Caenorhabditis elegans: one gene and its partners. The protein of the gene in region 3 interacts with the protein of the main gene of each other region in a pairwise test. Each region holds a gene or a part of one and is shown on either strand. Other genes may lie near its edges.

Region 1 (6,742 bases), 8.3 Mb from region 3:
TAAAAATTAAAAAAAAAACGATTTTTGAAGAAATCCAAAACATTAGAAAATTTTTTTAATATTTCTAGAAATTTCAAGTTTTTTAAAAAAGATTTTCAGTAAGCAAAACCTCACCAAAAACCTCCGATTTCATTCGAAATTGTTCAGTTTTAATACAAAATTCCTCAAAAATCTCGTAGCTCGGCTCAACATCAGCATATTTATCATAAAGCCGTCGACGATCTTCTCGTGAAATCTCATCACCAATTAAAACACTATCAATGACAGTTTCTGGATGTCTTGGACACATCCAATAGAAATATGCACGAACATGAATAAGTGGAGGTGTTACACATTTTTGATGCCATATCAGGTCACAAAAGTCACATTTTAGCATTCGTGTCCAGTCGTCTTTTCTGCAAAAAATAATTGGAGTTTTAAATTATATGGTAGGCAGGCGCGGTTTCAGGGCCTGATGCCTGCCTACCTTTGCTTATTTTCTGCATTTTTAAGGGAATTTACAAATTTCTAAGTTTTCTCATTCTATCAACTAGTTGATTTGAAGTTTTTCCGAAAGTTTTTTGAAATTTTTAAGAAAATTTTTCGGAACATTTTTGAAATTTTTCCTCAACTACAAAATTTATTTCAGAAAATTTACAGAAAATTTTTTTTTTAAATTAAAATTTACTTTTTTCAGAATTTTTCAGAAAAAATATTGAATTTTTCTTAACAATTGAAAATCACATAATATTCGAAAACTATATGTTATTTTTCTTCAATAGGTAATTTCTGTCTTTTTCAGGTGATTTTTTGATTTTCAAAAAAAAATTAAGATTTTAAAATCTTGACTTTTTGAATTAGCTAAAACTTTTTTTCCAGAAAAAAAACACATTTTTGATGCCAAATTAGATCACAAAAGTCACATTTTAGCATTCGTGTCCAGTCGTCTTTTCTGCAAAAAAAATAATAATTGGAGTTTCAAGAAGGGATCAAGGGTGCCATTTTTCGATTTTTCGATGTTTTTCAGTGAAAATCGAAACATCGAAAAATTGAAAAAAATGTTCAGAAAATTAACCATAAAATTCGATTTTTTATTTAATTTTGCTTATATTTGTAAGAAAAAAATCCAAATTTCTTCTAAAAATAAGAATAATGTCCAAAATGTGAAGCTAATTTTTGGAAAATCGGAAAATCGAAAAACGAAATTTTTTGATTTTTGATTTTTCTTTTTGATTTTTCTATCGTGTTTTTCAGAAAAAAATCTAAAAGTTCAGATTTTGAGATCATTTTAAGAATCGAAAATGATTTTTTTTGAAGAAAAATTTCGGATATTTTTCGAGAGAAAATCGCTCAATTTCAATACTTTCTGGTAGGAAACTCCTCTTTTTTTTGGCACTTTAGGTCCATTTTTGCTACGAAAACGTACAAATTGCACTCAGCACACACTTCTCCCATTATAGTTGGCCTCTTGTCTTCCATTGCATCACCAGAGAAACAATCACGATCTGCTTGGAATTCCGGTGGTATTGTATACTGAAAAATGTTGGAAAAATTATTTATAAATGTTTGGAATAATATCTAGGTTTCTCGAGAAAATTATTGTAAAATTGGAAATTTTTGAAGGACACAGAAATAAAGAATTTTCACAAAAACTCGAAACAAGAATTAAAAAAGCGTTATTTTTAATATTTTTATCGGAAAAATGGTCTCAAGAACGATAATTTTCAGGAAAAAAGGTCGAAAATACTCAAAAATATTTGTACATTTTTCTGCAAATAAATTGTGTTTTTTTCTGTTTCTATCCTATCCTACAGTGTTAAAAATCCCGATTTTTCTAATTTTTTTTTCACTTTTTTCCCGAAAATCGGATCGAACGCCGAAAATTTCAACGTTTTTCGGGAGAAAAAGTGTTTTAAATATTTTCTGCTAATAAAATTTCGCATTTTTTAAAACTATTTTTATCGAAAATTAAAAAAAAAAATTAAATTTTAAAAAATCCAGAATTTTCGATTTTCATTAATTTTTCAATTGAAGCATTAATTCATTTTTTTGAAAAAACTCCCTTACATCCATGGGATTAGCCATTCCAAGTGCTTTCAGTAGATTTTTATCCCGAAAACAGTCTTGAATTTCTGCAAATTCACTTTTTGGCCCATAAGCAACATCTTTTTTCATTTTCTCGGCCTGTTCCTCATCTCTAAGTCGATTACAATGATATTCAATAGCTTCCCAATTTCGGTGATTTTCATTTTCAACTCGGAGCACTGGATTTACAGACGGCGAGCACTTTTCCGGTGGAAAGAGCCGAACGTTTTCCGGAAGATTTCTACATCGATTACAGTAAAAATTGTCGTCTGGAAGATCGGATGATTCGTATCCAATACAAGCAAGATGAAAGGATGCTGGACACTGTTCACAGCATAGAATGTTACCGCCGGACTGCAAAAAAACATGGAAAATTATTTGGAAATCTGGGCATTTTTTTATTGAAAATTTATGAATTCAGTGGAGAGATTTTTCTAAAATTTGGGATTTTTTTTTCCAATTTTGCAAAAATAATATAATGAGCCTAAGCCTACGCCTAAGCCCAAGCCTGAACCTAGGCCTAAGCCTAAGCCTAGGCCTATGCTTTAGCTCAAGCCTAAGCCCAAGCCTACGCATAAGCCTTAGCCTAAGCTTAAGCCTAAAGGCATAAGCCTAGGCCTAAGCTTTAGCTCAAGCCCAAGCCTAAGCCCAAGCCTGAACCTAGGCCTATAATAAATTTTTAAAAGGGAATTTTTATTCTGAAAATGCTAAAATCATCAAAAATTCGAATTTTGCAGCTCTTTTGGACTAAAAACTTTTTTAAAAAATCAAATAATTTCAGCATTATCTGGTTTTTTTACTTTAAACTCCAGTTCTGAATCGAAATTTTCAAAGATTTGATGATTTTTTGCAATTTTTCTGCCTTTTTCAGGGAAAAATTAGTTTTTTCCAATATTTTTCCAAATAATCAATGTATTTACAGAGCAAATTCCGCATATTTGAGCTTCAGGCCATTTCCATTCTTCCTCCACTTGCTTTTTCTTCTTTCCAGACCCTCTCGCCGACAATTCTTCGGAAATGTGGTGTGGAAAACCGCAAACTCGGCGAATTTCCTACAAAAATTTGGAATTTGAGGCGAAAAAGTGAAAATTTGCCAATTTTACCGGCAGAAGACCGTCGTTTGAGTCGTATTTCAGCTTTCTTCGGCCTTCTTTCTCTTTTTTCTGCATTGATATTTTCTGAAAACTAAGAAAATCAATGAGAAATGATTTTTTAAATGCATTTTAAATTAAAATATCAAAGAAAAAATGAAAAATCGTCATAGAAATCGCAGAAATTCGAATGAATTTTCATGAGAAGCATGATGTCTAGCTGTCTGTGCCCTCCTCGATTCACATACTATTTCTTCGTAATTCGCAATGGAGCGCAGTTGCGTCAAGCCGAAAAAAATTAGGTTTTTTCCTATAATTTCGGAAATTACGGATAAAATCTTGATTTCTTAGGGGAAATTGAAGAAAATTCATAAAAATTTATAATTTCACGCATTTCTTTGAATTTAATTTCAGATTTCAGGTAAAATTTCAGATTTTCAGAGAAATTTCCAGCGGCTAACTTGAAAAGAATCACTATTCGCACCTTTACAGCCATCTCCACAGTCACAATCGGCATTGTAAACCATCGGCAGTCCTATTCGAACCCTAAAACTCATCTCCACTTCTTTTGTCGGCTATTTCCGGTTTATGGCCTTGTTTTTGGCTTGTTTGGAAAGAAAGAAATAATTTTTGTTATGAATATACTTTTTTCAACAGAAAATTGGAACAAAAGCGAAGGAAAACGAGGAAATTGAACAAATAAAAGATTTAAGAAAATTAAACAATAAATAAACTACAGTAATCATAAGCAGCATGGACAGAGTTTCGGCGAGGGTCTCGCCACGATGTTATAAACGGCACATGCGCCTTGAACAAAGTGTACTGTAGTTTTAATTTTAGAAAACTTTTTTAAAAAATTTTTTCCCAGTTCTTCCCAGTTTTTTGTAGTTTTTTATCTTGGTTTCTGTCAGATTTTCCATTAAAAGTATTTTCAATTTTTTTAAAATCATATTATATTTGATATATCACAAAAAATGTAGTGAGATGATGTTGTGTGGTACCTCTGGGTTGAAAAAATGAATTCAAGCGGAAAATAAACAAAAATAAGCACATTTTTAGTACCCAGAACCGCTATTTACTGCTCCTCAATTGAAAATAGAATCAAAATCGCAAAAAATAACCTAAAATCTTAAATTTTGTTTACTTGTCAGTGAAGTAGCTGTTTTTGCATACTTTTTGTGTTTTTTTGGTACATTTACGGTCGATATGTGTGCACCACACACCTGCCAACTTTTGTGCATCTACCAAATTATAATAGGTATACCTTCCATCAACTACTGCAACTCAGACAAATGGACAAAATTTCAGATTTCGAGCACATTTTGGGTCTATAATCCTCTATAATCCAATTATTTATTACGTTTTTCGTCAAAAATTCGAATTTTGTATAAAAAAATCTTATCTTTTGCCCAGATAAAGCTCCAAAACAAGGCAATAAACATCTTAATCTTCAGCCCATCACAAATCAAATCCTTTGTTCTTTCAATAGACATCTACACGTTGTAAAAGGTGCTAATCCCGTCCTTCGACAAGATAACCATCTCTCGAGACGCTCTGTAATTCCAGCTCCGCCTATAATTAGGTGACACCCCCTTCCTCCTTCTACCTGACCATGCATCCAATTAGTCAGTCATTGTGTTATTCTTATTCCAGTCTCTCAAAGTATGTCGATGTATTATTTTATCCGATAAAATCGACATTCTTTTTTTTATTTCGATATTTCCTAGAATTCTCAAATTTTCACTGTTTTCTGCAGAAATTAGCTTTTTTTTTCTCACTGAAATTCACACTTTTTTTTGGATTTTTCCAAATTTCGAAAAATAATTATTGAAAAATCACCGAAAATGTTTGGTTCTGAATTGAAATTTTTTTAAAAATTCGAAAAAACCTATATTTTTTTGGGGAAAATCTTAATTTTTTAGCTTTTCTCTTCAAAAAATTGGCAATTTTCAATTTTCTGAAAGCTTCAGAATTTTCCAATTTTCCTAAAATTCCTTTCTGGTCGTATTAAAAAAACGATTTCCTCGAGTTGCAGAAAAAATTTTTTTCCGAAGTAAAAATTGAAATTTTCTCTAAAACACCGAAAAATTGGAAAAATTTTGAATTTTTGAATATTTTTCTGCAGAAAAAGTTGCATTTTCTCGATTTTCTCTCCGAAAAATTGAAAAAATGGCAGTTTTTGATTTATTTGCAACTTTTTTAAAATAATTTTTAATTTTTTTCCGTTTTTTTTCCTGATTTTCAACAAAAAATCCTTCTTTCAGACACACACTCTACACTAAAATGTCGTCGCCCATCTTCTATGGAATTCTACTATTATTGGTGTGCTCCGTGAGCCCGGTCATCTCTGAAATGTGGCTCCACGTGAATGTTCTCTCTGTGGAACGGAAACCATGTCCAATTGATGAGACCTCATGGGGTACAGAGACTAGTGGATGTGCAACTATGAGCTATATGACTGTGAGTTTTGGAAATTTATAAGATTCCTTGAAAAATAGTCCAAAAGTTTTGGAAAAAAACATAATTGGTTAATTTTCGCGCTAATTTCAGAGTTTTTACAACCAATTTTGCCGAAAAAGTCAATTTTCCTTGAACTTCGCGTCAAAAATATGTTTTAAAACACCATTTTTCCCCGAAAAATCTATCGCAAAATATACATCTTTGCCATAAAATTACTCGATTTTTGGTTTTTTTCTTTGAAAATTCAAAATTTTACTTCTTCACTGCGACCCAAAAAAAGCCCAATACAATGGTAAAAAAGTTTCGAAAACAAATTCCAAAATTTCAAATTTTAGCAGAATTTTTGGTAGTTTCGGGCCATTAAAGGAGCGCGGTTTAGTAGATCACTTTGAAAAAAAATTAATTCAGTATTTTCCAGCTCGACGAACGAATCCTTCCCCACCACGAACGTCGTTCATCAAGTTTCGAGTATATAAATGGAATCGCTCGACCTACAGTAACCCATTGGCCAAAAGGACGATTAAATGATTGGATGGTATCTATTCAATTTGTTTCAGTGGATCCTGTATATGGATTGGCTAGAACTTGTGATCGATCTGGATATATTCGGGTTTTCCAGAATTCTACTGGGGAAACGCCAGAGTTTTTGGAAAGAACACTGCAGGTTAGAAAATTGATCTAAATTTCAGATTTTTCAGGCAAAAAATTCGGAAAAATTCGGCGGATTTTGTTGTGAATTTTAATTAAAAACCTAGTTTTCGAATCGAAAAAAAAGCTAGAATAAAAAAATTCTTATAAAAAATTCGAAGCTAGCGAAAAAATCAGATTTTAGCTGAAAAAATGAAATATTTCAAAATATTCCAAAAAAATAATGGCACGGTTTTTCCGCCTTTTTTTTGCAAAATTCACAAAAATTCGAATAGAAAAACAAGATTTTGATATTTAATTGAATATTTTTATTTTATTTCGAACCTTCTTGCTAAAAACCCCATTAAAAATTGAATTTTAAGTCTAATTTTGTTCCAAAATCCCCAAAATTTCCAGATCCAAGGTCAATGCTTCATGTCAACCGTCAAAGTTCAAGCATCCAATACAGTATGCCCATGGTGTGTAGATGATTCACAAAC
Region 2 (7,176 bases), on a different chromosome or scaffold from region 3:
GATGAGTGATCCAATCGATATTCAAGCACAGGAGGAACAGGAACCAGTCAATATTCTTCAAAAAGAGGTAAGTCTTATTTATTCTCTCTCTCTTCTTGGTATACTCTGTTCATTCTAATCAATCACATTTGCTAATCTAACACTTGTCTCAGGGAAGCATTCGTGTGTACAGCATCAATCGTAAAAGAAAGATTCGCAAACCACGTGTCGTCAAAGTTGAAGAAGTAACTTTTTGTTTTATGCACTTTTAGATGCCTTCGGATAAGTTAATTTTGGGGGCCTTTTTAATTTGCACTCAATTGCTGTCAGCACGTTAGCTGCAAATTCAACTAATAACTCATTTGGGAATATCTTTTTAGTTTAAAAATCCTCATTTTTATCATTTCAGAATGAAAAGGTTGAAGAGAAACCAGTTGAGGAGGAAGAAGAAGCAACGACTGAACCACCAAAGAAGAAGAGAAAGATGAGAAAGAGTCACAAAACATCAAAGAAAGAAAAGAAAGAGATCCGCAAGTTCCCAGATCTTTATGACGAGCAATGGAAGACCCAAGTGGCTCCAAGTGTTTCCCCACCATCCGAAGAGTTTGCTGAGCAATTCGATGGAGTTGATGAGGTTCAAGAGAGCCCAAAAAGACAGGAAACAACCCAACAAGAAGTTCAAAATGATACTCCAATGAATGATGCTATCGAACAGAGAAGCAGCAAGGTTCAGATGTTGACAAAAGAGCAGGAAGAAGAACTTTTGAATAAGGAGGTTAGAAAGAGAGTTATGAAGAGAATTCGTCTCTCAAAAATGAAGACTACAACCACAACAACTACTACTGAAGCTCCAACAACTACACCAGAAGAAGAAGAGGAAGAAGTTGTGACAGCTGCCGTGGAACAGGAAGAGGAAGATGATGTTATTGAAGCAGAAGAGTTAGTTGAAGATGAAGAAGAAGATGTAACAACCACCACCACCACTGAAGCTCCAGTTACACGTGCTCAACGTGTCAAGAAAAACAAAAAGAGAGCTGTTGTGACAAAGCATCAATGCTTGAACCTTCGTAGCTTCGCACGTCAATTCTTGTTTGATACCGTTGAAGAGTTCGCAAAAGAGCACTGTTACTTTATTGAGAACTATTATCCAGCACTAACATGTGCTCGTTCTCATGCTTATGTTGCCAAGTGCCAAAAGTGGTTGAAAGAGGAGTAATTAATTAATACCTTTATATTAATTTTTATTTTGATTTCGATCCAGATCTACGTGTATTTGTTTGTAATATTTTCTCCATCTTTCTGCCCTTGACTTTTGTGCAATTTTCTCAAAAACTTTCTCATGTTAATAAGTGTGCAATATGTGCAATAATTCATGGTTAATAAATGGTTATTCAAAAGAACATAATTCTCGTATCAGAGGATCCAATTGAGCAATATCTAGTCCATAAAACACACGAAGTAAGGTCCTATTCACACGATGAAGCTCGACGACTTGATTCAGAAGATTACTGTATGCAATGTCAGCACGTGATTTACCATATTCAAATGTAAGAAGTCTGAAAGTAGGACAATATTAAAAATGTTATAATCAAAAAGTTATACAATACGTGCTTTTCTCGTACAGTACTTACTTCAAGAGCATCTGGAAATATTTTGCTTGTGTTGAGTGCACTCGTTTACTATCACGTAAGTTGGAGACATCTGAATTAATAACTTTAAAACGAATCAATTTTGAAAAACTGGCTCACGAGGATGAAATATAACAGCTGCATTGAAAATGAGCATCAAATGTTCATTATTCCTCACATCTTCTCCAAACGTTGAAAGCAAGTTCATGTGTGCTTTGTAATGTTCTTCAAGTTTTGGATTCTTAAGAACTTCCACCTTTACCTCCATTTTTCCTCGTACTCCAAATGAATGATTCCAGCTGTTATCACTCTTGTCATAGGCCATAAGACCCCGCACAATCAACAACTCCCCAAATCCACTTTTCAAGAGATTTTTCCTATCGTCCACGTGAAGCTCTCGGAATAGACTTAATTGGCATGCCATGTTAACAATCCTTCGTAGAGCTTCTTCTATTATTCTAAAAACTCCATCAATGCTTTTCGGATTGTGCCATTGAATTAGTGGAGCATTTAATGGCTCATTTTGTACATGAAGTTCTTCTAAAAGAGTTATCTCGTCTTCATTCAAAACTCCAATGTATTTGTCAATCTCTGAAAAGTTGCAAAATTCAAACTTATGGATGACATGAAACAGTACTTGAATGAATTTGTTCTAGCAAATTTGGAGGTAGAGTTTCAGTTACTGGAACTGTGGACACTGCTTGAATTGGAGTCCATGTTCTTTCAGGCATTGGAGGAAAATTCAAAAAGTTGGCTGGCGCAGCCATTTGGGCCATAACACCAAATTGAAATGGTGATAACATTGGAGGATATTGCGATGGCATTTGTGGAGACAGTTCTAAATTTTAGACGTATATTCTTTACTTCAGTACGTATTAATAAAAGTGTTTTCTTGTCGGCTCGGAAGGCGGACGTAACTCTTCTGCCTACTTTGAATTCGTAGTGATAGCCTTCTAGATGAGTTATGTCTGGCTTGTTGTCAAACATTTTTGACAGTGAGGTTCTAGCGTTCAGCTTCACGAGCTGCTCCTAAAAACATACCAGTTATTGAGCTCGGTATAGACGCCGGAGAAACTGTGTAGTTGGTTGGAGATTGAGTAACAAGTTGAGAAGTATTGTAACCACTGGAATCATGTGAAGATGGAGCACAACTGATAACCGACATTGGAGAAAGAGTTGAAGTAGATGAAGAATAAAACGAATCCGAATGATGAAGATGATGGGAGAATGATATATCTTGTGGACTGTTCTGAATATAAAATAATTGATTTTCTTGTATTTTAAACTCTACTAACCACAGCTGTTGTATCCTTTGGTTCGTATGCGGTGAGTCTTTGAGTAATTGGATAGAATCCACACTGGCATTTGCATGTACATCTGTCTTTTGATTTTCTGAAAGTTCAATGTACGATTGTCTGTTACTAGAGTGACGTAGTTTTGTGGTCTTGTGTGATCTACTGATTAGATAATTGTACTTTCTCATACGGTACATATCACAGGTTATCGAGAGACCACTTTAATTAAATAGATTCAATTGAATAAATGTGAGAACGTGCTAAGGCTGCCATGGTAGGCACTTCTTCATGCCTACATACGTGCGCGGCTACTGTTTTTGCATTCTGGGGTAAAGGCGTTTTTTTGTTATTTTCCCGTTATATTATAGTAAATTTGTTGAAACAGTAGTTTATTATTTCCGGATAATTTCATTGAAACTTACTCATTAGCTTTATTGATAAGCTTTTCAAGTAATGCTTTGGGGACACTAATTTGTTCTTCATCATCATTTTCCAAATCTTCTTCAGTATCATCTACTTCCACTTTCAAGTTATTCTTCATATCAGGCTTCTTTCTTTTGAATTTTCCAGAAACAATTGAACTCTTCGGTTTCAAATCATTTAACCATTCACTGTTCATTCCAACAGCAAAACATTTATTCAATCGACAAGCTTGGCAAAACTTGCGAGATGCTGATGTGATTTGACAAGAATCAGAGAAAGGACATTTAATTTCCTTAACACAAAATTTTTAACAACTTGAGTATGCTTTTTTTTTTAAAACCTTATGCTTTGAAGCATTTCGCCTGAAAAACGCCTTACAAGATTCGCAAGTGAGTACACCAAAATTGTATCCATTTGCACGGTCGGAGCAAACCTAAAATTAATTACAATTGTTGGTTTAGAAGTATAAATGAAAAAACGTTTTTCTATTATATTTTTACAAAAATACCACCAGATTTGTAGTAATCCACTATGGAACTCATCTTACGTTTTGGAAAAGACGATATGTATCCAAACGGAATTTTCTTTTTGATTTTTAGGTCAAAAATACGGTACCAGGTCTCGGCACGACAATCTTTGTTCAGTACAAAAAGCTGTGTGCATTTGAAGATTACTGTAATTTCAAGCTGTGGAATTTTCATTGATAATTCATAGCTATTAATACTTTTTTAAAAACATTTATGTGTTTTATTTTAGTTTTTCACGTTAAATATGCATGTTCTTCTAAAGTTTGAAATTACAGTACTCCTTAAAGACTTGTCTTGGCGAGACCGGATACCGTATTTTTTAAGCAAAAATCGAAAAATCTCACGCCGTTTCCAAAATAAAATTACAACTTTCTGATGGTTTTTTCAACTTTTAAACCAGCGTCAAGAGGCTCTTCAATAAAGTGATTATATTCTAAATAATATCAAAACTAACTGTGCAAATTCTGCCAGCAGGCTCTTTTGGTGGAACAGCAGACCTTCGAGACTCGTCCATCGATGGAGAAGACGAAGGCATGGAATGACGAAATTTTTGTTTTAGTGATTAAAATGTTGTTAGGTTTTGCAGATAAGTCACACCACAAGTGGAATAAGATACGAATAATAATCAGTGATTATATGAGCGACGCATAGTTAACTGTGATTCACGTATAGTTAAAAAGGACGATTGAAAGGGCGCAATAGTTTGTATGAAAGACTATGGGGTTTGCTTATCAGTGTGCGAAGTGAGCACAAATATTTATTGATTTTTGTCAAACCAATGCGCTGATTGATAATTTTATGAAGTCTTATCGTTGACTCTCGTATATTTTTCAGGGACCAAAATCCAGAATCCAAATGCCAAAATTCAGATTTATTTTGTTTTTTGGAACACAACAGAAACAATTAAAGAAGTAAAATAAAACTACGGTATTTCGGTTCTATAACAAAGATGAAAGTTTTAGATATAGTTGTATGCTACATCTTCTTCGGATTCCACAAATGCCATTTCTAGCTTCACTGGTTGTTTCAGAAGAATGGAAAGAAATTCTTCTGCAAACCCGAACATCCAGTAGATTCTTCGAATATCGAGTCGACGCGAATATTGAAGGAATCCGGCAACGATCAGTACGTTTCCTCGTCGTTTGATTACAATCTGGAAAAATGTGAAGTTTTGCAAACTTGGATAAGAGAAATAGATACTATACTGAATTTTAAAATTTTTTTGATAAGTTATTACCTCATTTCCACTAACGACTAAATTTTGTGGGAAAAATCCTCGAATGAACCGACGAACAACTTCATCTTGTGCAACAACCAGTGGTTGAGATTGACGGAATTCTAAAAACAAATTTTAAAAATTGTTAAATCGTAATTCAGTTTTGGAACAAACCTTCGAGATTCTGTGAATGCCATGTGAGCCACGATTTTCGCACGCCAATATGATGTGGTTTTTGAGCCATTTCGTATGTAAGAAGTTGTGTTCTATTTGATGTAGACGGAAATTGCAAAATATAAATGGGAAAATAATTGAAAGATCAACAAACCTTGGTTTTACCCGCTCTGTTCTTGAGAAGCATCGATGTTGTCGAAATTTGACGACTGCTGAGGGCTTCGACATGTTGTATACTTCGAAGCATGTCTGAAATTTATAAAAATAATATTTTAAGCAGAAAAATATATTTATAAAAGCGATTCAGTATAAAAGCGAGGCAAATGCAATATTTTTAAAGAAAAAAAATTAGCTAAAAAAAGAATATTGCAAGTGCGCTCCCCAGGACTGATACACTGTCACGTCAGAATGCACAGATTTCTCAGAGACAAATTTATTAATTTATTCTATTTAATTCTTAAATTCCCTTTGCAATCCAGTTTTATTCAATTTTAAATAATTTTATGTTGTTCTAGAACATGTTCTTTTTTGATTATTAGTGTTATTTGTAATTTCAGATTTTCAAATGTCCGATAAATCGTCAAAAGCAGAAAAGAAGAACGATGAGTGTTACAAGTGAGTCGAAGTAAAAATCATGAATTCAATAATCATGTATATATTTCTTCAGCACGGCAGCGATAACCAACAACGTCGAAGCTCTCGAGTTTGGAAGAACGTGTCAGTCGTGCGCCGCCGGTATGGCAGCAGGTAATTTTCAAAAAAAATCATTTAAAAAATCCTTCTTTTACAGGAATTCTCGGACTTACCGGTTTTCAAGGCTTCATTCTCTATTTCATTTCTGTTGGAATCCAGGCCGTTATATGGAACGTGAAATCACAAGGAAACTGGTTGAGCTACTTTCCGGAAAGAAACTCATTCACTTGGTCGCACGGAAATGGTCTTCTCACTTTCGTTCTGCTCTGGGTATTCTTCTACGGAATGGTTCATGTATACTGAGATCCATTTTATTCGCGAAAGTCTACATTCCCTTTTATTTATTTCTAAAATAGATGTATCTATTCTTTTCAACATTTTATACAATTTAATAAATCAATCCAGCTTTAATCTACCTATTTATAGTTCGTCACTGTTTTAACAGATAAAATAACTTTAAAATAACCTTATAAATGTGCTTCCTTGTTATTTAAACTTTTCATTTGTTCTTTTCAGGATGTTATCGTTTGTTCGACAGACGGTATCTTCTACTGGGAGTAACATTCTACGACCAGCGTCAGCGGATGTTATTCAGATTAGAGGTTCGTTTTTTTTTAAAATAAATGTAGTTTTAAAAAAAACTTATTTTAAGGGCGTAAAAGAGCGTTGAAGCAGACAATCACTCGCCAACAAAAACTAGAAAGACGAATGAAAAGGGAAGAAAAAGAGGCAGCCAGAAAACAATACTCATTCATGGAAAAAATCAATATTCGGCGAATGAAAAATCTTCTATCACCATCTCAACAATTTCCAGGCAGACTCAACATTGACGATGAAGCTAATCTCCCTGAAAAGCCAACATTGGATGTTTTCATAAAGTATCAGACCTGTTTTGTGATTTCTATTTTTTATTCTAAAATGTTTCAGATCTCACTTCAAAACGCAATACTACACAGTCTCCGAAGCTCTTGACATGCATCGTGAACTTCAAAGCCCATCAATCTACAATAATCCAAATGCTCCAATCCGTCTTCGCCTTGAACTTAACATGACAACTGAGAGGCAGACGAAAATGGTCACAGGAAGTGATGAAATTGTCCCAGTCCCTCATCCATTCAATCATAACGAAAAAAGAACCATTTTAGCATTCGCTAATGATGTGAAACTTCAAGAACTGGCTGTAGAATCTGGAGCTGAAATGGCTCTTGGACAAGATACCATCAAAAAAATCATCAAGGGAC
Region 3 (9,062 bases):
TTTGGGGCACCAGGGGTACTGTAGGAGTACTGTAGTGGTGCTGTAGAGGTATTGCAGAGGTACTGTAGGGGCACTGTAAGGGTACTGTAGGGATGATGTAGAGCTGCTGTTTGGGTACTGCAAAGGTACTGTATGGGTAGTGTATGGTATGTGTTTTGCAGGATACGTAGAAGTACTGAGGTAGTGTTGTATGGATAATGTAGGAGTACTGTAGGCGGGTTGTGGGGGTACTGTAGGAGCACTGTAGGGGTATTGTTGGGAGAAATACTGTAAGGCTACTGTAGGGGTAATAAAGGGATACTATAGGTGTAATGTACATAGGTATATTATAGTATTACTGTAGACCGGTTGTAAGGATACTGTAGGATAACTGTAGGCGAGTTGTAGGGGTACTGTAGTGGTAGTGCATGATTACTGTGGGGTACTGTGAGGGTACTGTAGGGTTGATGTAGGGATACTGTAGACATACTGTAGGGTGGCTTTAGGGGTACTGTAGGGGTACCGTAGGATTACTGTAGGCGTCCTCTAAGGTTACTCTAGGTATTTCTCTCAATTCCACAACTTCCAGACACTGTGCCTTCATAATGCAAACCTCATCGGAAAGCTTCATGTGCTACGTCTTCCACGTCGAACCGAACGCAGCCGCCATGGCAAAAATGGTCGAGGCTGCTTGTAAGCTTCGATACCAAAAAGTGCTCGACGCCCACTCATCATCCCGTCATCACTCGGGAATGTCGATTCATGGACAACATCCACCATCCACCTACCACGGCAAGGTTTTTGAAACTTCTTCACTTTCCCTTGCTTTAACAAATATAATCGCTTGAAAATTATTTGAAGAGTCACTTTTTTTTGGTGACAGACAAATAATAAACTAACATGTTTCCCATGGAATTTAACATTTTTAATTTTAGATTTTCAGATTCTAGGCCGTCAAATTAGACTTAGGCTTTAAATTGTTTGTAGGGGGTACTGTATTGTAAGGGTTCTGTAAGGGCCTTTTATAGGGTACTGTAGGTTACTGTTAGGGTACTGTAGGACTGTACGGTTACTATAGGGGTACTGTAAGGGTACTGTAGGGTTGCTATAGCGGGCTGTAGGGGTACTGAAGGGGTACTGTAGGAATACTTTAGGGCACTGTAGAAGTGCTTTAGGGGTACTGTAGAGCTGTTGTATGGGCACTGTAGGGATTCTGTAAGGGCCTGTAATGGGGGGGGGGTACTGTAGGGTACTGTAGTAGTACTCTAGAGTACTGTAGGTTACTGTAGGAGTATTGTAGGGATAGTGTAGGAATTCTGTAGATGTACTACAGGAATACTGTAGGACTACAGTAGATCTTATGTAAAGTTAATATGGAAGTACTGTAGGTGCACTACAAGGGTACTGTAGGGATACTATAGGGATACTGTAGGGAACTGTATGGGTACTGTAGGGGTACTGTAGTTTACTGTAGGATATTGAACAAAATTTTAAATTCGAAAAAAAAATTTTTTTTGATCGATGCACCATAACTTTTGTTGTGAGCCGAAATTAATGTGCACATACTACCAAAAAATCCAATTAACTCTTAATAATCTGCTGAAAGCCTTAAAATCCTTAAAACCTAACTTGAAATAATTACAGGGATGGACTGAAACATTTCGCGACGCTTTTGGTTCGGTGACGTCACGTATGGTACCTTCTAGGTCGGCACAACGACTTTGAATTCTTCATTTTTCTTCGGTTCTTTAATTTTCTGTATTTTTGATGGATTTTTCTCATATTTTTTTCTCTCATACTCTGTTCTGCTCATCCCAAATATGCTTTCAAACCAAAAGTTTACCCCGGCCCCTCACTTGGCAATATTCTTCAATCCACCGATACATTTTTACTTGTACAATCCCTCTTTCTGTGTAGCTTTTTCAACATCTGTGACAATTTTTTTTTGTTTTGTAGAATTTGATTTCTTTGAAAAAAGGTTTTTCTGATAAAAATGGAGTTTTATAACAAGTTTGGTGGAATGAACATGGTGCATCGATAGGTCGCGAAAATTGTTTGGCAGGAAGCTAGGCAGGCAGGCAGGCAGGTAAGTGAGCAGGTAGGCAGGCGGATAGCCATGTAGGTATGTAGGTACACCAATAGGTATGTAGGTAGGTAACCAGGCTGGTATGCAGGCATGCAGATAGGAAGGCCGATAGGTATGTAGGTAGGTAGCCAAATTGGTAGACAGGCATGAAGGCAGAAGACAGGTATTCAGTTAGGTAGGTAGGCCGGTAGGTATGTAGATAGGCAGCCAGGCTGGTAGGCAGGCATACAGGCAGATAGGTGTTTAGGTGGGCAGGAACGCCTATAGGCATTTAGGTAGGTAGGATGGCCGATAGGTATGTAGGTAGGTAACCAAGCTGGTACACAGGCATGCAGGCAGATAGGTATTAAGGTAGGCAGGTAGGCCGATAGGTATGTAGGTAGGTAACCAGGCTGGCAGGCAGGGGTCATACTGATAGGTAGGTAGGAACGCCGATATGTATGTAGGCATGCAGGCAGATAGGCATTTAGGTAGGTAGGTAGACAGGCTGGTAAGCAAACTAATAGTTGTTCAGTGAGATATTTAAAGTTTTCAATAGAAAATTTTAAAAAAATTAATTTGAATTTCTTTTTGCAAATTTTTTTTCTAAATTTTTTTCATAATTTTTTGCCTGTTTTTGCCCTTTTTTGCCCCAGCCAATTTCAGCTTCAAAATAGCAAATTCTTTCCGATTTTCCATAGAAAATCTATTCGATCAGAGTGTCGGTTGCTCAAAAATTCAATAAATAATTAATGCGCCCCGACTTATGATGAAGTAAGCTTCTTCTAACCTTGTGATTTTGGGAAAGGTGGGGGACTATTCTCATATTTCAACTAGTACTACTACTACCATCTGACACCGAATACCTTTCCAATTAGTGATTCTCAGGTGGTATAAATTGGCGAGCTGCAATACGGAGATATGCCTTTTATTTTTCGGTTTCCGGTGATTTTGCTAATTTTTCGATGGGTAAGTGAGAATTTTCTCGGTTTTTGTAATTATTCTGCAAAATTTGAATAAAAATTGGCCGCGCTACGTAGGCCAATAGTTCGTTGGGGCGCGTTTGCAGCAGTTCTTCGAATTTTTTAGTTTTTTACGAAAAACTCGTTAACTACAGTTTGAATTTGTTTCTTTCACAAAAACATTAATGGAATTTCCGCAAGCGGCAAACGATTTTTTCCGGCAAACCGGCAAATCGGCAAATTGCCGGAATTGAAAATTAATGGCAAATCGGCAAATTGCCGGAAATTAAAATTTCCGGCAAATCGGCAAACCGGCAAATTGATTTGCCGAATTTGCCGGAAAAATGGCAAATCGACAAATTGCCGGAATTGAAAATTTCCAGCAAATCGGAAAATTGCCGGAAAAACGGCAATTGCCAAAAATTTTCCGAAAATGTGAGGTCACACGAATTTCACAGCGCGCGCTCAAATTGGCGCAATTTCTGTAGATCAAATATCGTTTTCAGGCCGAAAAGACACGGCAGCCGTGAACTGTGAGATTTGTGGAGACAAGTCTTACGGTAGACACTATGGAGTATGGGCATGTGATGGATGCAGTTGCTTTTTCAAGAGAAGTGTACGCAAGAATATTATCTATACTTGTATTGGTTAGCTTTCAGGCCGGAAATTTATATTATCTGAAATTATATTTCAGCGGGAAATTGGAAGTGCGTCGTGGATAAAGGCCGAAGGAATTGGTGCCCGGCGTGTCGGCTTGCAAAATGCACAAGGTTGAAGATGAATAGACTCGGTGAGTAATAGGCTCAGGCCTAGGTGTAGGCCTAGGTGTGGGCCCAGGCATAGGCTTAGGATTAGACATGGGCCTAGGCTTAGACTTGGGCTTAGTCTTAGGCTTAGTCTTAGACTGAGGCCTAGGCTTAGGCTTAGGTGTAGGCCTAGGAGTAGGATTAGACTTTGAATCAGGAATAGTACTAGGCTTATTCGTGGGCTTAGGCTTAGGCTCAGTCTCTGGCTTAGGTTTAGGACTTGGCTTGGGCATAAGGTTATGCTTAGGCTCAGGCTTATGATTAGGCTTTGAATTAGTCTTAGGCGTAGGATTAGGCTTCGGCTCAGTCTTTGGCTCAAGCGTAGGATTAGGCTTTGGCTCAAGTCTCTCTTCTCTCTCTCTCTCCCTTTCCTAGAGTTTCAAACATTTCCGAGTCAAAAATAATATCAAGTTGCGACCCGATTTATGAATTCACAAAAATAACTTGAAATAGTCTAATATGTACACGATGAAAATTTAAATATACTAATAAAAAATATGGCGAAATTATTTGACATGAAAATTATCTTCTTATCCATCACTCCAGCGTGATTGTATCGTCGTGGCAGCTGCGTGCCTCCTCCTGGAACAGCTCCAGAGTTTCCGAGAAGCCGTCCTCCTCGTACTCCTCCGGCTCTGGCACAGACAGCTTCCGCGATCTTCTCGGCACCACGAACGTCCTCTGAAGGATCCTTGAGAGTTCCGGCTCCACGAGCTCAGCACCAGTGTCCTCAGAATCTCCGAGAGTTCCAGAGCTTCCGGAAGCGTTGTCGTCGGGAACTGTGAGCTCCATCTGAGAATGGTCATCTTCTGCTGGAGCGAGCATCTTCATAGTCCGGTCGAGCTCCTCCTCGGTGATTTGTGCTCCGGCTCCTTCTGGCTTTGCAGCTTCCTTGGCGAGAGCAGCAGCTCGGCGACACAACGCCATCATCGAATGACTGGCCAACTTCGGTGGGAATCGCATTTTCATCACTTGCTGACAGTCGGCTTCGCTTTGCAACGTCTCCAGAAGTTTGTCAAAGAGATTCCAGAATTTGTACGTCTCGGCGAGCTGGAGACGAAGCGAGAAATCCATTGACTCATCGAGTGAGAGCCAATTTTCGCAGCGAGCCATCACAAAATCCACGCCAAACCGTGCAGAAACCGTCAGAAGCGACTCCACATTCTGTGCTGTGATTTGATCCGTGTTGTGGTACATGAATTCGAGGAATTTGAGGAAATCCTCGGAAGAGACGTCCTGAATTGTGATCTCTGGATCTCCCGGGGTGGCGAACAGAGACTGGAAGACCCGCGAATGTGTGGCGAGATACTGAAAATAGTGAATTATTACACAAAAATTTTAGTAGTTTTCACAAACCTGCTTCCCCACGTGGAACTTCCGCTCCTCCACCACCACGATTGCGTCGAACACGAGCTCCTTTGGCATCGAGAAGTCCATTCCAGCCATTGTCTCGTTAGAACTGCTGGCGGTGCTGAAAAATCGAGTTTTACTTTGAAAATCCAAGAAAAATAGGCAGAAAATCGGCAAAAAATGAAGAAAAATCGAGTTTTACATTGAAAAAAAATGGCCAAAAATCGGAGAAAAATGGGCAAAAAACGGAGAGAATTGATGACAAATCAAAGAAAATGGAAAAAAAGAAGAAAATTCTGGAAGTGCAATGAAGCGCAATTCCCGCCGGTGTTTGCGTATTCTGCGCAATTTTCGTTTGACCTACGTAGGTCAAATCGAAAAGGGGCACTCTGACACCACCGGAAAACCCGATAAATTTCGGGAAACCGATAAATTTTTAGAAAAATCGAAAAATTACTGGAAAACCAATTGATTTCCAGAAAAATCAATAAATTTGCAAAAAAAAAATTGAGAAAATCGGAGAATTTTTTTTCCGTAAATTTATCGATTTTTTGGTTAATGTATACACTCAAAATAATAAAACTGCGTGGCGTGTACTGCAGAAAACCTCATATTTAGGCCCCGCCTTTTTCTCGTCCACTCACGGAGAAAAGGCAAAAATTTGGGGACCAACCAATATCAGGCCGCCGACATCCTACGGGTTCCGCGCGCCGCTATGTTTAACTCGCTGTGGGCGTGGTGCTGTCTCCGCCCGCTGCGAGTTAAACAAAGTTTTCACAAACCTGCTTCCCCACGTGGAACTTCCGCTCCTCCACCACCACGATTGCGTCGAACACGAGCTCCTTTGGCATCGAGAAGTCCATTCCAGCCATTGTCTCGTTAGAACTGCTGGCGGTGCTGAAAAATCGAGTTTTACTTTGAAAATCCAAGAAAAATAGGCAGAAAATCGGCAAAAAATGAAGAAAAATCGAGTTTTACATTGAAAAAAAATGGCCAAAAATCGGAGAAAAATGGGCAAAAAACGGAGAGAATTGATGACAAATCAAAGAAAATGGAAAAAAAGAAGAAAATTCTGGAAGTGCAATGAAGCGCAATTCCCGCCGGTGTTTGCGTATTCTGCGCAATTTTCGTTTGACCTACGTAGGTCAAATCGACGCCCGCTGCGAGTTAAACAAAGCGGCGCGCGGAACCCGTAGGATGTCGGCGGCCTGATATTGGTTGGTCCCCAAATTTTTGCCTTTTCTCCGTGAGTGGACGAGAAAAAGGCGGGGCCTAAATATGAGGTTTTCTGCAGTACACGCCACGCAGTTTTATTATTTTGAGTGTACGAAGCTGTAATGAAAAGAACCTTACATATATCTACAGAATTGAGACTCTTCGCACCAACGCCCCTGGGTAATATTAATTTAAAAATTGAACAGAATGTGTTGTCAATTTACGTTTTTAAATAGTGTTTTCTTTTTGCTTAACTGATATATCAAGTTCAATTCAGCTGTCCAAACTGAACGAGGACCTCGGAGGCTTCGATGCCTGCAGCTGAAACATACCAATAACCCCATCTCTTTCAAATGTAAGTCTATACTCGGGTAATTCATCAAAACTTATACACCAACTTAGCCTTGCATAGCCTTCTTTCTTCTAAGTTTGACTATTACAAAATTCTGAGAATGCGTATTGTGCAACATATTTGACGCGCAAAATATCTCATAGCGAAAACTACAGTAACTCTTTAAATGACTACTGTAAAGCTTGTGTCGATTTACGAAAATCATTTTTGATCGATAAAATATTAAAAATTAATAGTAAGCAAAAAAATGAACAAAATAATACGAAAAATCGAAGAAAAATGGAATATCGCTGTCACTTTTGGAAAATAAATTCATTTCGAAAGTAATTAAAAGAGATACTGTAGTTTTCGCTACGAGATATTTTGCGCGTCAAATATGTTGTGCAATACGCATTCTCTGAATTTAGTGTTCACGTAATACTTTGGACAACTTTATCCAACTTTTTTCAATCAAATTTAGCAACTTCTACGCTTGGCATTTCTAAAATTGCTAAAGTTGGTGGATAAGTTGTAGATTTCTTCTCTTATTCTCAGGTTTTTTTTTCCATTTCCAGATGACTCGATATTCTCGAAATCCGTAATCCTTACATCAAAATGCTTATTGCTAAACTTCATGTCCCAACAGGAACGTCGAGAAGTTGTTGAAGAAAACTGCCAAATCATATTTGCCCTATTGATATTGGCCAGTGGAGATGAGGCAGTACTAAGCAGGTTTCCAGTAAGTTTTTGGGTCTCACAGCGAATATTACCGTAACCCATTTAAGCCGCCAAAACCTATCCCGCAAAAAGTGCATTGTGACCCAGAACAACTACGGCTGACTATCTGCATACTTCTCTCCCAATCCAGTAAGTTTCAGATCCCCTTTTATTTATGCTAGATCTAGCTAGATATTAATTTTCCAGCCAGTCCCCTTCTGAAATTCGCTGCACCTTTGGAAAACTTTTATAAATGTTGTCTATGGCGGTACTCCTTCACAAATGACTCTATCGAGACAGCTACACAACTAATCAATACAGTTACGTGGCTCTATGAAAACGGACCATGGGAGATGTCAAGTTTGCTCCGAAGCTCCATGAGCAGTCTTATTACTGAAGTCTTTGAATCAGATAATGTTGAATTGTTTTGATTTTCAATTGATGGATGAATAAATGTTTTAATGAATTTACCGGTTTGCAATTTGCCGATTTGCCGGAAAACTTAATTCCGGCAATTTACCGGTTTGCCGGAAATTTTCAATTTCTGCAATTTGCCAATTTGCCGGAAATTTTCATTTCCGGCAATTTGCCGATGTGCCGGTTTGCCGGAAATTTTCAGTTCCGGCAATTTGCCGGTTTGCCGATTTGTCTGAAATTTTCAATTCAGACAAGTTGTCGGTTGGAATGTTTGTCGGAAATTTTCAATTCCGGCAATTTGCCGATTTGCCGGAAATTTAAAGTTCGGCAATTTGCCGGTTTGCCGATTTGCGAGAAATCTTAATTCCGGCAATTTGTCGATTTGCCGGAAATTTTCAATTCCGGCAATTTGCCGGTTTGCCGATTTGTCTGAAATTTTCAATTTCAGCAATTTACCGGTTTGCCGGAAGTTTTCAATTCCGGCAATTTGCAGGTTGGCCGATTTGCCGGAAATTTTCGATTCATGGCAATTTGCCGATTTGCCGGAAATTTTCATTTTCGGCAATTTGCCGGTTTGCCGATTTGCCGGAAATTTTCAATTTCGGAAATTTGCCGATTTGTCGGAAATTTCAAATTTGGGCAATTTGCGGGTTTGCCAGAAATTTTCAATTCCAGCAATTTGCCGATTTGTTGGAATTTTCAAATTTGGGAAATTTGCGGGTTTGCCGGGAATTTTCGATTCCGGCACTTTGCCGGTTTGTCCATTTGCCGGAAATTTCAAATTCCAGCAATTTGCCGGTTTGCCGAATATTTTAAATTCCGGCAACTTGCTGTAATTTTCACTACAAACATCAAAATTATAGACTAAAACCAGTATTTATTGGTTACATGATACATATAAATTTCAATGAAAAGGTCGCCTAAATCAAAATGAAAAAACATGAAAATCATAGAGGTATCGTGTATCATTTAGTCTAATCGGCATTTGACTATAAGCCTGCTGACAGATATCCAATTCGACAATCGTGTAGCGTGGCCATTTGAAAGTGTAGTCCTTGGGTGTTTTGATCCGTTGTGACCACATTTGTGATCCTTTACGGATTTCATTCAGGAGACTATCGAATTTGTAGCATCCACCGAGCACCACTTTGTATCTGGAAATATGGAATTTTAAGTAAAAATTATTGATTTTTTCTCAATTTTTCGATGTTTTCAGAGAA

What was found. Proteins that work in one complex are often made in the same cells at the same time.
Region 1: the proteins of nhr-239 (region 3) and athp-1 interact in a two-hybrid assay, tested with the Caenorhabditis elegans proteins (one large-scale study listed by BioGRID).
Region 2: the proteins of nhr-239 (region 3) and nhr-8 interact in a two-hybrid assay, tested with the Caenorhabditis elegans proteins (one large-scale study listed by BioGRID).

What each region holds. Positions count from the first base shown.
Region 1 is NC_003281.10:10,878,861-10,885,602, reverse strand, and holds the start of athp-1 (PHD-type domain-containing protein), read right to left. Parts: upstream 3,838-6,742; 5' UTR 3,640-3,837; intron 3,243-3,639; 5' UTR 3,234-3,242; coding exon 3,168-3,233; intron 3,117-3,167; coding exon 2,985-3,116; intron 2,419-2,984; coding exon 2,047-2,418; intron 1,513-2,046; coding exon 1,406-1,512; intron 396-1,405; coding exon 115-395; intron 1-114. Other genes in the region: C44B9.3 (C2 domain-containing protein), read left to right, coding at 5,508-5,615, 6,034-6,279, 6,660-6,742.
Region 2 is NC_003282.8:7,708,360-7,715,535, reverse strand, and holds nhr-8 (Nuclear hormone receptor family member nhr-8), read right to left. Parts: upstream 4,393-7,176; 5' UTR 4,388-4,392; coding exon 4,307-4,387; intron 3,759-4,306; coding exon 3,666-3,758; intron 3,618-3,665; coding exon 3,325-3,617; intron 3,000-3,324; coding exon 2,903-2,999; intron 2,857-2,902; coding exon 2,649-2,856; intron 2,446-2,648; coding exon 2,245-2,445; intron 2,199-2,244; coding exon 1,728-2,198; intron 1,681-1,727; coding exon 1,611-1,680; intron 1,536-1,610; coding exon 1,367-1,535; 3' UTR 1,338-1,366; downstream 1-1,337. Other genes in the region: F33D4.6 (aECM cysteine-cradle domain-containing protein), read left to right, coding at 1-67, 153-224, 389-1,195; mrps-24 (Small ribosomal subunit protein uS3m), read right to left, coding at 4,811-5,005, 5,090-5,190, 5,243-5,348, 5,397-5,489; emc-6 (ER membrane protein complex subunit 6), read left to right, coding at 5,808-5,857, 5,910-5,989, 6,033-6,238; mrpl-1 (39S ribosomal protein L1, mitochondrial), read left to right, coding at 6,453-6,537, 6,588-6,813, 6,863-7,176. UniProt on the Caenorhabditis elegans protein: Orphan nuclear receptor.
Region 3 is NC_003281.10:2,558,701-2,567,762, forward strand, and holds nhr-239 (Nuclear receptor domain-containing protein), read left to right. Parts: upstream 1-3,009; coding exon 3,010-3,013; intron 3,014-3,512; coding exon 3,513-3,653; intron 3,654-3,700; coding exon 3,701-3,796; intron 3,797-4,218; exon of another isoform or gene 4,219-4,349; coding exon of another isoform or gene 4,350-5,120; intron 5,121-5,168; coding exon of another isoform or gene 5,169-5,258; exon of another isoform or gene 5,259-5,283; intron 5,284-6,654; coding exon 6,655-6,732; intron 6,733-7,283; coding exon 7,284-7,447; intron 7,448-7,493; coding exon 7,494-7,575; intron 7,576-7,632; coding exon 7,633-7,856; 3' UTR 7,857-7,895; downstream 7,896-9,062. Other genes in the region: feh-1 (Protein Fe65 homolog), read left to right, coding at 569-776, 1,624-1,704; Y54F10AM.11 (BTB domain-containing protein), read right to left, coding at 4,350-5,120, 5,169-5,258; Y54F10AR.2 (Mitochondrial genome maintenance exonuclease 1), read right to left, coding at 8,768-8,996.